3 linked regions of the Caenorhabditis elegans genome follow. The protein of the gene in region 3 interacts with the protein of the main gene of each other region in a pairwise test. Each region holds a gene or a part of one and is shown on either strand. Other genes may lie near its edges.

The links.
Region 1: the proteins of bckd-1A (region 3) and bckd-1B interact in a two-hybrid assay, tested with the Caenorhabditis elegans proteins (one large-scale study listed by BioGRID).
Region 2: the proteins of bckd-1A (region 3) and pdhb-1 interact in a two-hybrid assay, tested with the Caenorhabditis elegans proteins (one large-scale study listed by BioGRID).

Annotation. Positions count from the first base shown.
Region 1 is NC_003279.8:7,724,914-7,729,695, forward strand, and holds bckd-1B (2-oxoisovalerate dehydrogenase subunit beta, mitochondrial), read left to right. Parts: upstream 1-2,353; coding exon 2,354-2,752; intron 2,753-2,798; coding exon 2,799-3,272; intron 3,273-3,607; coding exon 3,608-3,694; intron 3,695-3,757; coding exon 3,758-3,898; 3' UTR 3,899-4,179; downstream 4,180-4,782. Other genes in the region: F27D4.4 (Zinc finger CCCH domain-containing protein 15 homolog), read left to right, coding at 116-377, 426-575, 624-706, 758-946, 1,066-1,209, 1,296-1,397, 1,451-1,565, 1,884-1,963; F27D4.8 (Chromate transporter), read left to right, coding at 4,289-4,438.
Region 2 is NC_003282.8:3,397,227-3,404,506, forward strand, and holds pdhb-1 (Pyruvate dehydrogenase E1 component subunit beta, mitochondrial), read left to right. Parts: upstream 1-2,445; 5' UTR 2,446-2,461; coding exon 2,462-2,531; intron 2,532-2,661; coding exon 2,662-2,847; intron 2,848-3,382; coding exon 3,383-3,513; intron 3,514-4,203; coding exon 4,204-4,381; intron 4,382-5,022; coding exon 5,023-5,404; intron 5,405-6,347; coding exon 6,348-6,459; 3' UTR 6,460-6,677; downstream 6,678-7,280. Other genes in the region: dyf-3 (Clusterin-associated protein 1 homolog), read right to left, coding at 41-96, 146-294, 341-511, 957-1,157, 1,214-1,472, 1,564-1,675, 1,876-1,897. UniProt on the Caenorhabditis elegans protein: The pyruvate dehydrogenase complex catalyzes the overall conversion of pyruvate to acetyl-CoA and CO(2).
Region 3 is NC_003281.10:12,967,218-12,974,102, forward strand, and holds bckd-1A (2-oxoisovalerate dehydrogenase subunit alpha), read right to left. Parts: upstream 5,181-6,885; coding exon 5,178-5,180; intron 4,604-5,177; coding exon 4,481-4,603; intron 4,411-4,480; coding exon 4,023-4,410; intron 2,722-4,022; coding exon 2,391-2,721; intron 1,459-2,390; coding exon 1,005-1,458; downstream 1-1,004. UniProt on the Caenorhabditis elegans protein: The branched-chain alpha-keto dehydrogenase complex catalyzes the overall conversion of alpha-keto acids to acyl-CoA and CO(2).

The sequences.
Region 1 (4,782 bases), on a different chromosome or scaffold from region 3:
CACTTTTTATTTTATTTCCAAATGCCTATCAAATCTTCTTCATTTTTTATATGCTAATTTAGGATTGAAACTTTTAAAAATAAATATGCAAACCTTTAAATTAAGATCTGCAACCATGCCGCCGAAGCAACAAGGGCCTAGTAAAAAGTCCGAGCAAAAGCGCAAGGAGAAAGTTATCGAGGACAAGACGTTCGGATTGAAAAACAAGAAAGGAAATAAAAACCAGAAGTTTGTGGCACAAGTTGAAAATCAAGTCCGTAACAACAATACTCGTATGGATCTTGTCCGACAACAAGAAGCAGCTAAAAAAAAAGAAAAAGACGAGCTTCTCGATATTGCCAATCTTTTGAAACCTGTGGAACAAAAAGTCGCAAAAGGTTGCCACTTTTAGATCGAAAAAAATTAAACTGTTGTGAATTTTTCAGATGTCGATCCAAAATCTCTTCTCTGTGTATTCTTCAAACAAGGTCTTTGCGGAAAAGGAGCAAAGTGCAAATTCAGTCACGATTTGGCAGTTGCTCAGAAGACAGCGAAGAAGAACCTGTATGCAGACAGCAGAGAAGTCGAAAAAGACGGTTTGCACCAAATTAAACGTTTTTTTTTGTAATTTCTAAGCATTCCAGAAGAAACAAACGAGAACTGGGACTCGGACAAATTGAATGAAGTGGTCAATAAGAAAAATAAAAATAAACATATGATTGATATTGTAAGCAGTTTCATGACAGACATTTTTAAGTTTAAAAAATTGAATTTTAAGGTTTGCAAGTACTTCTTGGAAGCTGTAGAGAACAACAAGTACGGTTGGTTTTGGGAATGTCCGAATGGAGGAGAAAAATGTCAATATCGGCATTGTCTACCAGAAGGATATGTTTTGAAAAAGGAACGGAAAGCAATGGAGCAACAAAAAGAAGATGAAATTAGTATTGAGGAACTTGTTGAGAAAGAGGTATACTTATAGGGGAAAATAGTGGCAAAAACATTGTTAAAAGTTATTTCAATTTGAAAGACCACATAAATTAAATTTTATTCCAATTTTTCGTAAGAATTATAGTTTAACATTTCCAGAGAGCCGCTTTGAGTTCGAAAAATCTCACAAAATTAACACTCCAAACCTTCATTGCCTGGAAGAAGAAGAAGTTAAGAGAGCGAAAAGAGAAAGAAGAAGCCGATTTGAAAGAAAAGAAAGAGAAGATCAAATCTGGAAAACATGTAAGAAATTTGAATTTTTATTTAAATTTACTACTTTAATTTCTGTTTCTCGTCTCTTTACATAAATTAATGTTTTCTTTTTTTAGAATGGAATGTCTGGACGTGATCTTTTCTTATATGACGCCAATCTGGTCAACAACGACGACGACGAGGCCGGAGATATTGAGATGGAGAAGGAAGAAGTTGATGTTAGTTTTTGAAATTAATTATTTTAATTTTACAAAAATTTAAATAATTTCAGGAGAATGAAAAGGTATTTGAAATCGATGCCAACTTCTTCAAATTCGACGGAATGGACGATGAACTGACGGATCAAATGAGCAAATCCTCGACTGCTGTTGAATCTACTGCTAAAGGTAATTTTTTTCAGTGCGTAAATAAAAAACAATTTTCGTCAAATTTGAATGGCTAATTTTTCTGTTAAAAAACTATTTTTGACACGTGGCTTTTCTCTGGCTGTCAATATCCTCATTTCATTCTTATCAACACAAAAAAATTCAAACATCATTTTGGCTGTCACTTCAAAATCTGTTATCTTTCGGCAAAAATCAATTGAATTTCTCCCTTTCCCACAGACACACGTTTTGCAAAAAAAAAAACGTTTTCTTTATTGTGTCTGGGTCTCTTGTGGCGAGCCGACACACTATCTCAAAAACTAATTTCAAAAATTGCAGGAATGGCAAAGATGGACATCAACGAGGACTTGTTCGACATTGACGAAGACGTTGAAAACCTCGATTCTGATGAGGATTGAAGAGTATACTTCTGGTGCTCCCCCTTTTTTCCTGTTCTTTTTCTGTTTTTGCTTTGAATTTCAGTGTTTCTTTTTTCCCGATTCCCCTGCTATCTATTATTATTTCTTGTTTGTCACGACTAACCGGTAGTCCCAATTTTCTCTGTATTTGATTATTTTTTTCAAATTACAAGGGACTATTATTTGAAGTTTTCTCCATTTTTTGGTGTCGTTTTGTTATAAATTCATTACAATTCAGATGATTTATTTTAATTTTGAAAAAATATCGGTTTTGCCCGATTCATTTATCTTTTATTTTAATCTTCAAATAATGCGTGAACTTTTGATTGAAAAAATTAATTAACTTGGAAATCCTATAAAAGTTTATTTTAAAATTATTGCGATCTTCAGATGAGTTCCCGAGCCGTAAGCCTCTTCTCAAAATGTGGATCCAGAATCTCCCAAACTCGAGGAAAAGCTCACTTCACGTTTCAACCATCAACCACACTTCCAGCAGGACTTGAAAATCTTGAAAAGACTAAAATGAATTTGATGCAGTCTGTTAATGAAGCGATGAGAATTGCAATGGAAACAGATGATTCTGCTGTTCTTTTTGGTGAAGATGTTGCTTTTGGTGGTGTCTTCAGATGTAGTTTGGATCTTCAAAAGAAGTTCGGAAAAGATCGAGTCTTCAATACTCCACTTTGTGAGCAGGGAATTGCTGGATTCGGAATTGGAGTCGCAGCGGCTGGAGCAACTGCCATTGCTGAGATTCAGTTTGGTGATTACATCTTCCCAGCTTATGATCAGGTAATATCCGGAATAAATATTATGGAAATAAAAAAAATTATTCCAGCTTGTCAACGAGGCAGCCAAGTTCAGATACCGTTCGGGAAATCAATTTGACTGTGGAAAACTGACTGTAAGAACAACATGGGGAGCCGTAGGACATGGAGCTCTATACCATTCACAGAGTCCTGAAGCTAACTTCACCCATACCCCAGGATTAAAGCTTGTTGTTCCACGTGGGCCAGTTCAAGCCAAAGGACTTCTTCTGTCGTGCATTCGTGATCCGAATCCATGTATTTTCTTCGAACCAAAGATTCTTTATCGATTGGCTTCTGAAGATGTTCCAACTGGAGATTACACAATTCCACTGGGACAAGCTGAAACTGTTCGTTCTGGAAAAGATTTGACACTTGTTGCCTGGGGAACACAGGTTCATGTTGCTCTTGAAGCAGCTCAATTGGCCAAGGAGAAGCTCAATGCAGATGTTGAAGTTATTGATCTTCAGACGATTCAACCTTGGGACGAGGATCATGTAGTAGAGGTGAATTATTACAAAATTCTGCGAATGCGTATTGCGCAACATATTTGACGCGCAAAATATCTCGTAACGCAAAGTACAGTAATTCTTTAAGTGACTACTGAAGCGTCGATTTACGGGCTCGATTCTTGAAATTAATTTTTTGCGATTAGTTCGTTTCTCCGTTTGGATTTTAATATTCTATCGATAAATCAATGATCTAGCCCGTAAATCGACACAAGCGCTGCAGAAGTCATTTAAAGAACTACTGTAGTTTTCGCTGCGAGATATTTTGCGTTTTTTGTTTGTGTTCGCGTAATATTTGGATGTTGAGTGATTAAATATGAATTATTTTTCAGAGTGTTCAAAAAACTGGTCGACTCATTGTCACTCATGAAGCTCCGATTTCTTCTGGTTTTGGAGCTGAAATTGCTTCTACTGTTCAGGTAAATAATTTATATTTTACTTTCCTTTTTCAAATAATAAATTAACAATCAAAAATATTACAGAAACGTTGCTTCCTGAACCTTGAATCTCCAATAGATCGTGTTGCTGGATTCGATACACCATTCCCACACGTTCACGAACCATTCTACCTGCCAACTGTTCATCGAGTTTTCGACGCAATCAAGAAGAGTGTTAACTATTAGAATATGTATTTGATATAAGAAATTATACAAGGTAACAACGAAACCGTGTAGAAAAGTAGAATATTTTCTTGTTTTAGCCTAATTTTCTGTTCAAACGGTGCCATCTGCATTTTAAATCACCCATATTTTATTCCGGTCCAAATCGCTAAACCCATCATCATAAATGTGTTGGTTTTTGACATTATATGTCGAACATTCCCTCAATTGCTCGTTTTAGATATTTTCAGTGTGCTATAGTTCTTTTATGTGTTTTATGAATAAATGTATGAATTGATTTTTCTAAAAGTATTTTCATCTTTTTTCTTCGTTGGATTCTCATCTAATATTTGATTTTTGATTTTTCCTGTAAAAACGGGAAATGCGGATTTTCAGATCTCTTCAAAAAGCGGGATGAACCATATAATAGCTGCGGGTCTTCTAATCATTGTCTCAATTGCATCAATTATTCCTGGATTTCCTGTGCTCATCTGGCTTCAGAGTTATTTCCCAGAGCTCCCAGAATATTACACAATTGATAGTATTGCTGTCTATAGTGTTCAGGTTAATATTCTCATTTTCATCAGATACCTGTAATATTACCCGGTTCCAAAATTTTGCAATTTTTGACATACAATACTTTATCTCGAAGCGACCGAAAGATCCCAGTTACCGTACCCACAAGTCTTCCTACCGCATATTTGCATCTTTCTGTTCAATGTTTTTTGCAATCACTGGAAAATTTGGAAAGAAGCTCAAATTGTAAGAAATACTGATATAAGCAACATTAAAAAGCGAGAAACTTGCGGGTACGGTAACCATGAAGTTTTCGGGCCCAAAATTGCATCTTTTCTAAACTAAGTAACTTGTAGACTGCTAATTTTGTTTCAGTTTTTGAATTTAATTTT
Region 2 (7,280 bases), on a different chromosome or scaffold from region 3:
GGTTAATAAACCTGTGGAGCTGATAGAACTTAACACTTACACTGCCTCCTGTCCACCAAGGGGGCGTCGGAGCCGTCGTCGTCGTGGAGTCCGATGCTGAAATAAGGATGTCAGTCGGAAGTTCTAAACTTCCATGAAAACTCACGCATCCTTCTTCTCCTGCTCCAGCCGCATTTTCTCAACGGCCATCCTCATCGCCTTCTCCAGCTCCTCCTGCCGTTGCCGCTCGGACCTCGCCAAGTCATCATGAACTTTTCGCAGATAGGACAGGTTGCGGAAGTTCAGCACGTAGACCTGGAAGCTTAGGCTTCACAGGGCAGCTCGGTATCCGGTGTCTTACCTCATAAAGTTTCTTCAGTCGCTCCTCAAACCGCTCGTACTCGTCCATATACTGAGGTCGGAAGGACTGTAGCTTTGCGAATCTTTTTTGCAACTGCTCGTACTCTCGCTTCTTTCGCTCTATCTTCTCGTCGAGCTCTGCCTCATCGCTGGCCACGTTGTTCAGCTTGTTCTGAAAATTTGAGAGGTTAGCTGGGGAGCCTGCACCTAACCTAATTGTAAGTGACTCAGACCCTCCGGGCTTTAAGAACAATCACGTGGGTTCGAGTGGAGTGGGTGTTGCTTCAAGCCAGTTAGGCTAATTCAGTCTATTCCTTCAGCTCCAAGATCCTCAGCGGACTCCTCGAGGCTAGGGGTCTCTGAGCTTCTGGAGAAGATGCACAGGCCCGGTCTAGTGGCTTGAAGCCCTGCATATACCACTAGAGTTCAGGTAATGAAGCTTCAAAGTCTGAATCAAAGTTCAAGTCACTCTTTGACCAAGCCCACGCCATTAGAAGAAGTCCAAGCTTTTTACTGTCCGCTTCACAATCAGGATCGAGCCAGGCCAATCTCTCAAACTCTAAGACGCCAGAGCTCAAACCTACGCCACCAGGAGCTCCGTGACCCGTCAAGCTTACCGATAGCTGCTCAGTCTCCTGAGCGATGTTCTGCACTGTTGCCTGCAGCACCTTCTCGGCCTCAGCAAGTGGTACCGCCCGTGACGCGGCTCTCTCGTGTTGCTGAGATATGAACTCCTGCCGGGACAGCAGCTCACTGAGCAGGGCACCTGTTTCCGGGAGTTGTGATGATAGCTGACGAGTGATTCGGACCTCCTGCATCTGAACTTTCGACAGTTTTTTCAGGCTTTTTCAGGCTGGTGGCCTGTGAGACCCACCTTCGACGAGAGCTTATTCTTGACTTGGGTCCATTTTGGCGAGTTATCAGTGTTCGGGTCCTCTGCCTTGGCCTGGTAGAGGATCTTCATGGCCGGTAGGAGTTCCTGCACCGCATGACCATCAGCCTGGTACAACTTTTTTGGATTCATCTTGATTCTCGAATTTTGGAGCATCAGGAGTACCGCGTTCTTGATGAAAGCGACCCGATCAGCTTCTGTTTGGACTTCGTGTGCGTCAAGGTTGGATTCGGGCTCAAATCTGGAATTTTTGGGCTTAGAGTAGGCTTGGAAGTTAGTGGCCAAAGTTTCTATATTTTTCGGCCAACGATTTTTTTCACTGGGAAACTAACTTTTTCACGATCCATTCCAGCAATTCAGCCACCAGCTGAAAATTTGGGGTCCGGAAATTCTCAATTGACATCAAGCGAGGGTATCGGAGGCTTCGCGTCATCTCACACAGGTCTGAAGTTGGCGAAATTTGGGACTAGAATCCGAACTCGGCCATGATTTTGTAAAATTCAATTTTAAGTGTATTTTGGGTCTTTTTTTTGCGTTTTATGGTTTAGAAACATTTCTCACCTAGATTTTAATGCAACACTTATTTTTTCCATATGAAAATCTCAAAGTTCAAATTTAAAATTAAAAAAGCCTTAAAAACTTACTTCTCAGCTCACGATACGACATTTTTCGTGCAGAATTCAATTGAAACTTCTCTTCTCAACAATTGCCTGCCTATTCCCCCATTCAATATTTCCTCCGTTCCCATAGAAACTCCCTGCAAACACCCCAAAGACTACGGTCGACGAGCTTCTGCAGCTCAACCGGCGTTTTGTACGCAAACACCGCGACGCCATATTGCACACATTTTTCGAGAGGAGCGCCGCGCGCATTTTCTCCGAGTTTTGTTTGCTTTTTTGCGCATCTTTCATTGATTTTTTATTAAAATCGGGGGAAATATGGTTTAAATTATCGATTTCCGCCTGTTTTAGTGGTGAAAATGTGAAAAATCGTAGTGAAAAACCCTAGAAACCAGTAAAATTCTATTTGGAAGGGTTTTGGTCTAAATTTTGAGTTTTTAGCATTAAAACAATATGCTCAGCAGAAAAACTAATGAAAATGTGAGAATTTTGAATCAAAATACCTAAATTTTTTAAAAAATCCTAGTTTTTCTCTATTTTTCTCAAAATTTCCGGCAAAAGCCTCAAAATTTCAATTAATTTCCGGTTTTTCAGGTAATCCCCGGTCGAAATGGCTCTGAGAAAGTGTGGAAACCTGTTCGTGGCTCGTCTCGCTGGCACCTCGACCAGAGCGGCTTCCAGTGAGTAGAAATTGCAAAAAATGAATGGAAAAAAAACGAAAAAATCGCTGATTACCGGCTAAAAATGAAGAATTGAACGGAAAAAACGAATTTTAACCTAAAAAAGCATAAAAATCGCCAATTTTTTCAGCAATGACCGTCCGTGACGCCCTAAATCAGGCTATGGACGAGGAAATCAAACGTGACGACCGAGTTTTCCTGATGGGAGAAGAAGTTGCTCAGTACGACGGAGCTTACAAGATTTCCAAGGGATTGTGGAAGAAGCACGGTGATAAGCGAGTCGTCGACACTCCAATTACTGAAATGGGATTCGCTGGTACGGGAAATCACGCTGGAAATCGAGAAAAATCGAGAAATGTTGACTCGGAACGTCAAAATCACTAATAAATCCCCAAAAACAGCACCATTTTTTCGAAAAGAAAGTGTCCAAATTTACTTTAATTTTGGATCTTTTCTCTCAAAAGTTCAGTTTTTACACTAAAAATTGGATTTTTCGAACAAATTTCGGAAATTTTCCTAAAAACAATTAATTTTCGGCATTTTTTATTGAAAATTTCAATATTCACTGCAAAAAGCTCGGAAATTACGGAGTTTTGATATTTTTCGCAGAAAATTCCGGTTTTATCAAAATTTTGTCGAAAATTAAGCTGAAAAATCACATTTTTTATATAAAAATCAGATTTTTCCCAATGTTATTTGCAGAAAAGCTCTAAGACCGCGCAAATTCAATTTTTCAGCAAAAATTGTCTAAAAAGCTCGAATTTTCGCATTTTTCTCGATTTATTCAATTTTTAGCAAAATTTTTTCAGAAAAAACTGAAAATTCCTCCAAAAAAATCACATTTTTTTCAGGAATCGCCGTCGGTGCTGCCTTCGCCGGGCTCCGTCCAATTTGCGAGTTCATGACATTCAATTTTTCCATGCAAGCCATCGATCAGATTATTAATTCAGCCGCAAAAACATATTATATGTCCGCCGGAAGGGTACGGTCTTGGCAATGTGCCACGTTTTCTGGAAATTGCGATTTTCAGCGAAAAAATAGCCGAAAAATTGAAGATTTTCACCAAATTTTTGACTAATTCGTGAGAAATCACGCTTTCTGCTATTTTTAGAACGAAATTCCTCGGTTTACACTGATTTTTCAGGAAAAAGTCAATTTCTGATACAAAAAATGCGATTTTTCTAGATTTTTGACTGAAAATCAGGGTTTTTCTGAAATTTCTACACAAATTTTACCTCAACAGAGCTGATTTTAGCTTTAAAATCCGATTTTTCTCGACTTTTCACTGAAAATTTCATTTTTTCAGCCATTTTCGTTGAATTTATGCTGAAAAATCATGTTTTTCACATGGTCTCACGCCATTTTGATAAGAAAAAATTTGTAAAAATCATCAACTGATAAGAATTCTTATCACTGAACACTTTCTGATCAGTGAATTTTATCAGAAATTGGAAATTTTTTTTCGGAAAATCGGTCCAAAACTGAGAAAATATAGGGAATTTATAACTTTTAAAGTTTTTTTTTCTTGTTTTTTTTTCTGAAAACACCGCTTTTCCAAGAAAAATACCGGAGAAAATGATATTTATAAAATCATTGAAGAAACATTTGAAAACGAAAATTGTAGAGATTTTGTAATATCTGAAGAAAAAAATCGAGAAAATTTATTTTCCAGGTACCCGTCCCAATCGTATTCCGTGGACCAAATGGAGCCGCCGCCGGAGTTGCTGCTCAGCATTCTCAAGACTTTTCAGCTTGGTATGCTCATTGTCCAGGACTGAAGGTTGTCTGTCCGTACAGTGCTGAAGATGCGAAGGGACTCCTGAAAGCTGCGATTCGTGACGATAATCCGGGTACTTGTCGCGAAAATTGGAGATTTTCGATGCAAAATTCAGATTTTCCAGAAAATTTCAGTCAACAACCGTGACAACTGGAAAACTTCTGATATTTTCGAAATTTTAGGATCAAATTAAGCGGTTTCTTGAAATTTTCCGGGTTACTGTAGCTCCAAAAGTACGCAAACACCATATTTTACGAAATTGGGAGCTTTTTGGCTGAAAATTTCAGTTTAGACTGATTAAAAGGTGGCAAATTTGAATTTTTAATTCATTTTTTGAGTTTTTAACGATTTTCTTGTGAAAAATGGTTTTCCGAACACCAATGTTTGCGTGCTTTTGACGCTACAGTAACCCCGAATCAAAAAATCGGCGCTATTTTCATCAAAAATTTGAGAAAAGTCGGTTTTTGTTTAGTTTTTTCATTCAAAAATGTTTTTTTTTTACTTTTTTTCCGGAGATTTACATTGTAAAATCTAAATTTCGAAAAATATTGTGCAAATTTAGCAGTTTTTCAGGAAAAAATCCAAAAAAAATTAAAAATTCTATAGGAAAATATCTGAAAACCAGTTTTTTTTCAGTTTTGGCCGAAAATTCTGCGAAAATTTATAATATTCTCCTAAATTCAATTTTTCGGGAAAAATTCGAATTTTTTGCAGTTGTCTTCCTGGAAAACGAGATTCTCTATGGACAATCGTTCCCAGTCGGCGACGAGGTTCTTTCCGATGATTTCGTGGTTCCAATTGGCAAGGCAAAGATCGAAAGAGCTGGTGATCACGTAACAATTGTCTCGTATTCACGTGGAGTTGAATTTTCACTGGAAGCTGCAAAACAGCTTGAAGCTATCGGAGTTTCAGCAGAAGTTATTAATCTTCGCTCACTTCGTCCATTTGATTTCGAATCGATTCGTCAATCAGTTCATAAGACTCATCATTTGGTGTCTGTTGAGACTGGATGGCCATTTGCTGGAATTGGCTCAGAAATTGCTGCTCAAGTTATGGAGAGCGATGTTTTCGATCAACTTGACGCGCCACTTTTGAGGTCCGTAAGAGAAAATTTGCGAAAAATGGCTTAAAATGCTAAAAATTTGATGAATAACTGCTAAGAATGGCACAAAACTTGAAATTTTATCTTTAAAATGTTCCAAATTTGACATTTTCTGAAAAGTTGAAGGAAATACTCGAAATTATCTGAAAATTTTATAATTTCATTACAAAAACAAAAAGGACCCTAAAATATGAGGAAAACAGCTGAAAATTTGTGATTCTTTCGAATTTTTCTTGTTCTTTTTTAAAGAAAAAGCGAAAAATTCGAAAATAGCTCGAAAATCTTCGAAACATGCGAAAAATCGCATAAAATCCTTTAAAATTTTCCAAAACTCCCGAAAAACACTTCAAATTTTTGTAAAAATGATCCAAACCCGAATAAAAACCTCTAAAATGCGAGAAAATGCTCCAAAATCTCAGGAAAAAACCCCCATAGAGCTCATAAATTTCTCAAAATTGCTCCAAAGTTTTAGCAAATTTTCAAAAATCCTTTAAATTCCCCTAAAAAGCTCCAAAATTGCTGAATAATTCCTCGAAAATCTCTGAAAATTTCACAAAAAAGCTCTCAAATTTTAGAAAGTCTTCACAAATTTCCAAAACCTCTGAAAATTGCTTATAAATTTCTCAAAAATGCTCCAAGGTGCTCCAAACAGCCTAAACATCCCGAAAATGCTCCAAATCTGCTCAAAAGTTGCTCCAAAATCTCTGAAAAATTCTATAAAATCTTCAAAAGCCCTCCGCAATCTCACAATACATTGCTCCAAAATTCGCTTTATAAACTCTATACTTTCTCAAACAAGCTCAAAAAATGTTAGAAATTGCTCTAAATTCTCTGAAAAAGCTCCGAATTCGTTAGAAATTTCTACAAAATTCCCTAATAAGCTCCAAAATCCCCCGAAATGCTCTAAATTTCCTAAAAATCTTAAAAAATTTTCCAGAGTCACCGGAGTCGATGTTCCAATGCCATACACTCAAACTTTGGAGGCTGCCGCCCTTCCAACCGCCGAACACGTCGTGAAAGCTGTCAAAAAGAGCCTGAATATCGCATAATTTTCTGTTTTTTTTCGTTAAAAAATCGATTTTTCTCTAATTCTCATGACCCCCGATGCCTTTTTTCCCCTAATTTTTTTTTCAAAATTTTTGGAATTTTTAAAAATTTTTAGAGCTTTTTTTTTCGAGATTTTCCCCATTTTTAGGTACTTTTCCTGTTTTTATGTTCCCCGTTTAATAGTGATTTTAGTGAGTAAAACGAGTAATAAAAGTCCCCTCAATTTCATGTTTTATGGCTCCGCGATTTCCCCGGAGCAGCAAGGTGCTCCTTCTCCGAAATTCGGGAAAAATGCGCATTTTTCCTTTCCACATTTGTCATGCAAATTCGTCGTGTTTTTTGGGAATTTTTTTGGCGCGCGCGCCTTTTTTAGTTTTATATTTGTTTGTTTTTTAGTTTTTTTCTGGAAAAGTTTTTTTTGAAAACACTAATTTTTCAAAGGATTTTCCAAAAATTTTAATTTTTCTCTATTTTTCGCAAAATTCGAGTTTACCTCACCGAGAGCTTTCAAATGAGTATAATCATGACCTGTTTTGCCTGAAATTGAGTTGGGTCTCACCACGAAAATCCCAGGGTTACTGTATTTTTCGTGGCGAGACCCAACGTTTTTTTTCAAGTTCGAGCAATGTATGCCGTGATTATACTTGTTCGAAAGCTCTCAGTGAGCTGAATTCGAAAACACAAAATTTTTTTGAGAAAGTTTAAATTCACTGGGTCTCCCCACGAAAATCTCAGGATTACTATAAATTTCGTGGCGAGACCCACATTTTTTCAACTCCAAGAAAAGTAGGTCATGATTATACTTAAATCAAAGCTCTCGGCG
Region 3 (6,885 bases):
CGAGAAAACAATAAAAAAATTTTAGAGTTTTTTGCAAAACTGGAAAAAAGCCTTTTTTGTTTTTTTTTCTCAAATGTAAATTCTCATAAATATTTTCCAGGTTTTCTACAGATTTTTTTTCTTTTTTATTGATTTTTATTGAAATTTAATTTAGATACTTGATAATTTTATAGATTTTTATCGAAAAAACGATAAAAAATTAATGAAAAATCCGCAAGAACACAAGTTTGAAACTACAGTACTCTTTAAAGGCGCATGCCTTTTTGCAATGTAAAAATTGTATTTTTTTTAATTTTTAAATTTAACTTTTTCAGTTTTCTCCGGGTTTCATTGAAATTTTCTTTTGATATTTGATAATTTAATCGATTTTTATCCAAAAAACTACGAAAAATTAATGAAAATTCCGCAAATACACAAGTTTGAAACTACAGTACTCTTTAAAGGCGCACACCTGTTTGCACAAAACTAAAATTGTCGTGTCGAGACCAAAATCCTAAAATTTTCGTTTGAAAAAAAAAAGAACATAGAACATTAAAAATTTTCGGTCAAAACCGACAAGAGAAGATTGCAAAGAAAAGATATAGAGAAATCGTGAGAGAATTAGAGAAAAATACAAAAAAAAGATAAAGAAAATTGATAAAAAAAAGAAGAAATTTGTGCTGTCGTATTGATACGAACAATTGGTTGTTCAGTGGCAATAAATTGCAAAAATTAAAATTTTTCGAGCATTCGGTCTATTTTATTTGTTATACGCCCTATTCAGGACACAAAAATCGATAAAACAGTGTGGGGTATCCTCTCCATATTGAAAGGTGGGAAGGGGCTGACAAAAGAAATATGCGGGGAACACGGGAAAAGGCACCTAGAAACAAAACATGAGGGTTCATAAATAAAAGCAAAATCTATTTGATAAAACACATCGGAATGGCACAGGAAAATCTACAAAAAAAAAACGTATTCTAGTAATATTTTCATAGAAAAAAAAAGCATCACAAAAAATGAATTTAAGGCTTCGATTGAAGAGTCTCCAACATCGGATAATGCTCCTTGTACTCCGCAACATGAGCATCCAGCTCATCTCTCTGACGGCGAAGTCTGAGTGGAAGCTCATCATAAACATCCTCGAACAAATCATGATAATGCGCCTTCTTCCGCTTCTCAGCTGCGGCGAACTCGGTGAGCACACGCTTCTTCACCTCTTTCTGCCATTCCATCTCCTTCTCCTCATTCCACCATCCACGTTCCGTGATGTACTTCTTGAAGCGAGTGATCGGATGATCCTTGTCTCCCCATGTTTGAACTTCATCGGAAGATCGGTAGGCGGTCGAGTCGTCGGATGTTGAATGATGGCCGAGGCGGTAGGTCATGGCCTCGATGAGCACTGGGCGGTTGGTGAGGGCGACTCGGCGGGCTTCTTTTGTCGCGTTGTAGACGGCGAGAAGGTCGTTTCCATCGACTCTGGAAAAAATTTTGAAATTTTTTGTTATTTTTTAAATTTCCAATTTTATATTTCAAAAATAGCTCATTTTTCCTCTTTTTAGAAGATAATATTAGATTATATAGATAGAATATTCGCAAGTGCCGCACAGAAAAATGGGCGGGGCGTAATTTTGCAACCCTGCGGCACGGTTTTTCCTTTATTTTTGATGATTTTTAAAAAATATATTTAGGTATGCAAACAGATACTGAACAATCGATCCGTGATTTATTTCTTGCAAAAGAAAAAAGCTGCGTCGCACAGAAAAATGGGCGGGGCGTAGTTTTGCAAGTCTGCGGCGCGCCTTAAGATTCGATTTTTTTTTCAATTTTTGGCAAAATTAGTCAATTTTCTGAAAATCTACAATTTTCTCTTCTTTTTCGTAATTTTGTTCCACTTTTTCCCGCGATTTTCTCGTAAAATAAACGGCACGCCGCAGGTTTGCAAAACCTAAGCTCCGCCTCTTTTTCTGTGCGACCACAGAGTTCTGAAAATGCGTATTTCACAACATATTTGACGTGATAACATATGTTGTGCAATACGCATTTTCAGAATTCTGTGATCGCACAGAAAAAGGAGCGGAGCCTCGTTTTCGCAAACCTGCGGCGCACTTTTTTAGGCTGAAATTCTTATTTTGGTGATTTTTTACCGATTAATTGTGGGTTTTTTCTTTAATTTTCGTATATTTTTTTTATATTTTCGAATTTTTGCCAATTTCACGAGAAAATCGCGAAAAAATGGAGGAAAAAAAGGGAAAAACAAGAGAAAATTGTAAAATTTCAGAAATTACAATTTTTTTTGTCAAAAAATGATTCAAAATCAAGCAAAATCAAGCCAAAAACTGCAAATTCTTGCGCTCCGCCTCTTTTTCCGTGCGGTGGCACTGCTTTTCAACGAATCCAGTTCTCTCTACCTAATAGTATGAAGACCATAAGCCGGTCCCTTTCCAGCAATTCCATCTCCTCCATACTGTTCACTAGTCGGCGTAGAAATGGCGTATCCGTTGTTTCTACAGAAGAAAATAATCGGGCATTTGAGAGTGGCGGCGAAGTTGAACGCTGCGTGAGCATCTCCTTCAGAAGCGGCTCCATCTCCGAAATAGACGACTGCGATGCGATTATTATCCTTTTGTTGCTTGAAAGCGTACGCTGAGCCGACGGCTTGTGGAAGTTGAGTGGTCAGTGGAGATGAGATTGTGACAAAGTTTCGCTCTTTTGTTCCGAAATGCATTGGCATTTGGCGGCCTGAAAATGGAATTTTTGGTTTTTGAAAAAATCTTGGAATTCGAAGACCAGCGGCTGCTGGAGCTTTTGTTCAAAAATTTTCAAATTTTTTTTTCGGATTTTTAAAAAATTCCACTCAATTTTTCCTTAAAAATCGATTTTTCTTCGAGTTTTTCATCAGATTTTTCCTTTTTTTTTAAATTTTTTCGTGATTTTTTTTGTAAAAAAGACAAAAAAAAACGACGCCGCACAGAAAAAGAGGCGGGGCGTAATTTTGCAACCCTGCGGCACGATTTTTCGAGACCCGAAGAACTCGGGGGATGTCCAATTGGGGGGATTACCAACTCGGGGGATTGGCCCCGCCCACAGAACCGTGGCTTGCAATACGCCCATTTCTGCAACTGCCGCACGGTTTTAAAAATATTTTTTCTTGTTATTTCTCGCTCTATTAATAAAAATACAGTTTTAAAACCGTGCGGCAGTTGCAGAAATGGGTGTATTGCAAGCCACGGTTCTGTGGGCGGGGCCAATCCCCCGAGTTGGTAATCCCCCCAATTGGACATCCCCCGAGTTCTTCGGGTCTCGATTTTTCCTGGCTTTTTGATGATTTTTTTTCAAATTTTTTGGATAAATCGATTCGTGATTTTTTTGCAAAAAAAGCGCCGCCGCACAAAAAAAGAGGCGTGGCGTAATTTTGCAACCCTGCGGCACGGTTTTTCCTCCTTTTTCAATGGTTTTTTTCAAAATTTTTTTGAGAAATCGATTCGTGATTTTTTTTTGAAAAAAAATAGCGCGGCACAGAAAAAGGGGTGGAGCGTAATTTTTCAACCCTGCGGCACGGTTTTCCTCTTTTTTTGATGATTTTTTTCAAAATTTTTTAGATAAATCGATTCGTGATTTTTTTTTTGCAAAAAAAAGCGCCGCCGCACAGAAAAAGATGCGGAGCGTAATTTTGCAACCCTGCGGCACGGTTTTTCCTCCTTTTTCAATGATTTTTTCCAAAAATTCACAATTTTTCTTATTTTCTTTTTTTAAGTAAAAATGTTACCTAATTCGCACAATCTTATGAGTAGTAAATTGAATAATATTTTCAAGAAATATTGTAAATTTTCGGAGAAAAAAGGAAAAATCAACAAAAAAGAGGAAAAACCGTGCCACGTCGTTGCAAAATTACGCCCCACCTCTTTTTCTGTGCGGCACAGTTTTTTTTTGCAAAATTCGGGAATCGAAGTGAAGAAAAATTGAAAAAAAAACGGAAAAATAGGTTGACTTTCTCCAGAAATATCGATTTTTTAAAAGCAAAATCAAGGTTTTTCTCGGACCTTTTCCCAAGTCATCCGCATTTCCATAGCACTGATTCATGAAATTCTCCATAGTATATCCTCTCCACAGCAGGACCCCGGCTTCACGATATTGTCCATAAATCAGATCCTGTGGCTCGAGAGCGGCGGCACTTCCGACATGATTTCCTTCTTCTCCGAAGCTTGTCATATAAAACGAGATGCGTCCTTGACGCTGCGAATCATACAGGATCCGATCCATAATATTCAGCTGTGTCATCGTTTTGTACATTTTCAGCGAAGTTTGCTCGTCGAAATTTGGGTCCTGCGACTTGTCGATGACGTCACCGACGGCGTTGGTGACTCTGTAGATTGGCAGTGCTGGCGTGTCGTCGGCGTTCACGATTTCTAGTTTTTCAGTGAAAGCGGCCTGAAAAAAGTGAAGTTTAGTATTTTAAATGGGGAAAAAATAGAAAAATAATAAATTAAGAATAAATTACTTTTCTATGGCCCAAATACTTTGAGCTGTACTCGCTGAGCCGGAAAGCGTCTCCTTCAACGGTAGAAGCCATGCTTCTGACGGTTGCCACCCGTCTCGAGGCGTTGAGAAGTGCTCTGTGCATCTGAAGGGAATAAGGAATTAAAATTTTTGAATTAAAAATATTTTTTTGAATTTTTTCAACAAAAAAGATACAATAAAACGTGGCAAATAGTCTATTGAATTTGCCACAAAAAAAATGCAAAAAAATGCAAAAAACCTGTGGAAAAATCACCAGCCACAGAAAAAAGTCCGCAAAATGTCGTCAAATGTGGTGTATTGACGACACTTTGTGTCACTTTTCATGTGTTTCAATCACTTTCAGTGATAAGAGCTGAGAGATATTTGGCGGAAAATCGATAAAAATCAAACAACTAACAATCGGCAGAGTTTGCAACAAAAATCTGAGCCGGTTCTCTTATTCTCTTGAAAAATCTACAGTAACCTAGCAGAAGTTTAGAGGCCTAGGTTTTTTCTTTCGAAAGCTTTCTAATAAATTCATTGACTTTACAATGAAATTGATAAAAAATAAATCGTTATTTCATCGAAAAAACTCTAAAAATCCACAGTACTCCTTAAAGGCGCATACCCGTTTTTATTTCACAAGAACTTGTCGCGGTGAGACCTTTTTGCTCAAAAATCTTTTTAAAAAAACGAACCATTTGATGATTTCCCCAGGGAAAACGCGTGTTTCTTCGGCGAAAGACAGAACAAGAAATTGGATTTTCTAATCTTTTTCCAGAAAACAGGGCGACACGGGAAACTGAATTTAAAAAAATTTAAATTATTGATTTTCTTTAGATTAGAGAAAAAATTAATCATTTCTCGATTTCTATTCATTTCGAACGAAAACAGCAATTTATTATCGGTAAGAACTTTTGAATTTCGACTGAAAATGTGATTTTTTCATTGAAATTCTGCAGATTATAAAACAAAAATATTGCAATTTGTAAGGATTCCCACCCTTTTCACTTCACATTTTACATAAATAAATACTAATTTATTTGCCTTTAAATTCTCTCTGATAATTTACAGAAAGAACGGACGAAATCGGTCGAGGACAACGATTTCTACAGCGAAGGCAATCCGCGAGGAGGAGAAACTCCAGTTCAAACCGCCGCCAAGCTACAGAAGGTCGCCTTGTCGCGCCGAGACCCGTCGTCGTTAAAGGCTGCGCCTTTAACCCGGAATGCCTATATAAGGAGAGGACGACGCTCATTTGTGATCATTTATTAACTCTTTAACCCGTTACTTGTCGTTTTCCCTTTTCTCTCGTTTACTCTGTTTCGACGATGCAATTCGTCTGTTCCCTTTTACTTAATAAACCCTTATAAGATCGATCAGTGTGCGTGAGTGGCAGTTACATCCTATACCTTTATTAATTATGAGCGAAGAAGATGATCACGACGTGGAGACTGCACTGATGGTGAACCTGTAATTACAGGAAGACGGGGACGATTCGAAACATTTTTCTATGGAATTGATGTCTGTTGTTCGTGGATTCCGGTTGGTTGGGACCAGGGCTGGGACTTTTTCGTTTTCGCGTTTTCGTTTTTTCGTTGTTTTCGGGGTTTTGACGAAAACGAATTTTTTCGTTTTCGTTTTCGAAAATGTTCGAAAAACGAAAATAAAACGACTTTATTTAATTCTGGTATTTTTTCCACTTTCTTTCGAAGTTTCGCCGAAATTTTGAAAAATCAATTATTTTCTGCTAAGACTCAGAACTGAAGATAAACTTTAAAAACAAAAAAAGCAACAGTTTTCAGTTTTGGAAAACAATTAAAATACTCTTTTGCGTAACAATAGATTCATTCATTTTAAGACAGGAAGTTTCTTTGTTCTGAGCTCCAATGTTGGGCTATCTTATTGAATGCACCGAATTTGGCTAAAAATTCATTCAAGCAACAAGTAAAACATATTTCCACAGTATCTAATAAATTTTTGATGATTTTTGCTTCAAAAAATGCAAAGTAAACTCAAAATCAGAAATACCACAAAAGAAAAGCGTGAAAAATCCCCGTGATTTTTCAATTTTGGCGTGATAGACCAATCAGCGATTCGCTCCGCCCATTTTTGAACCAATCAGATGGCAGCTCTAATTTTGGAGGGAATTCAAACAAAAATCGCAATTTTTTATTTTTTTTTTGTGGTTTTTTTCTGAATTTCAGACTTTCCATTTTTCAGACCGCATACTTCATCTTCATGATCCTCATCCACTGTTTTCTCAACTTTTTTTCTTTGAAGAATTTCTGGAATGATGAAAAAATATATTTTAAAATGTGACTGTTTCGGATTTCATTCATTTTATTTACTTTGTGTCAATTCTTCTCGCTTTTATGTCAGTTGGGTTTCAAATCATTGGGTTGC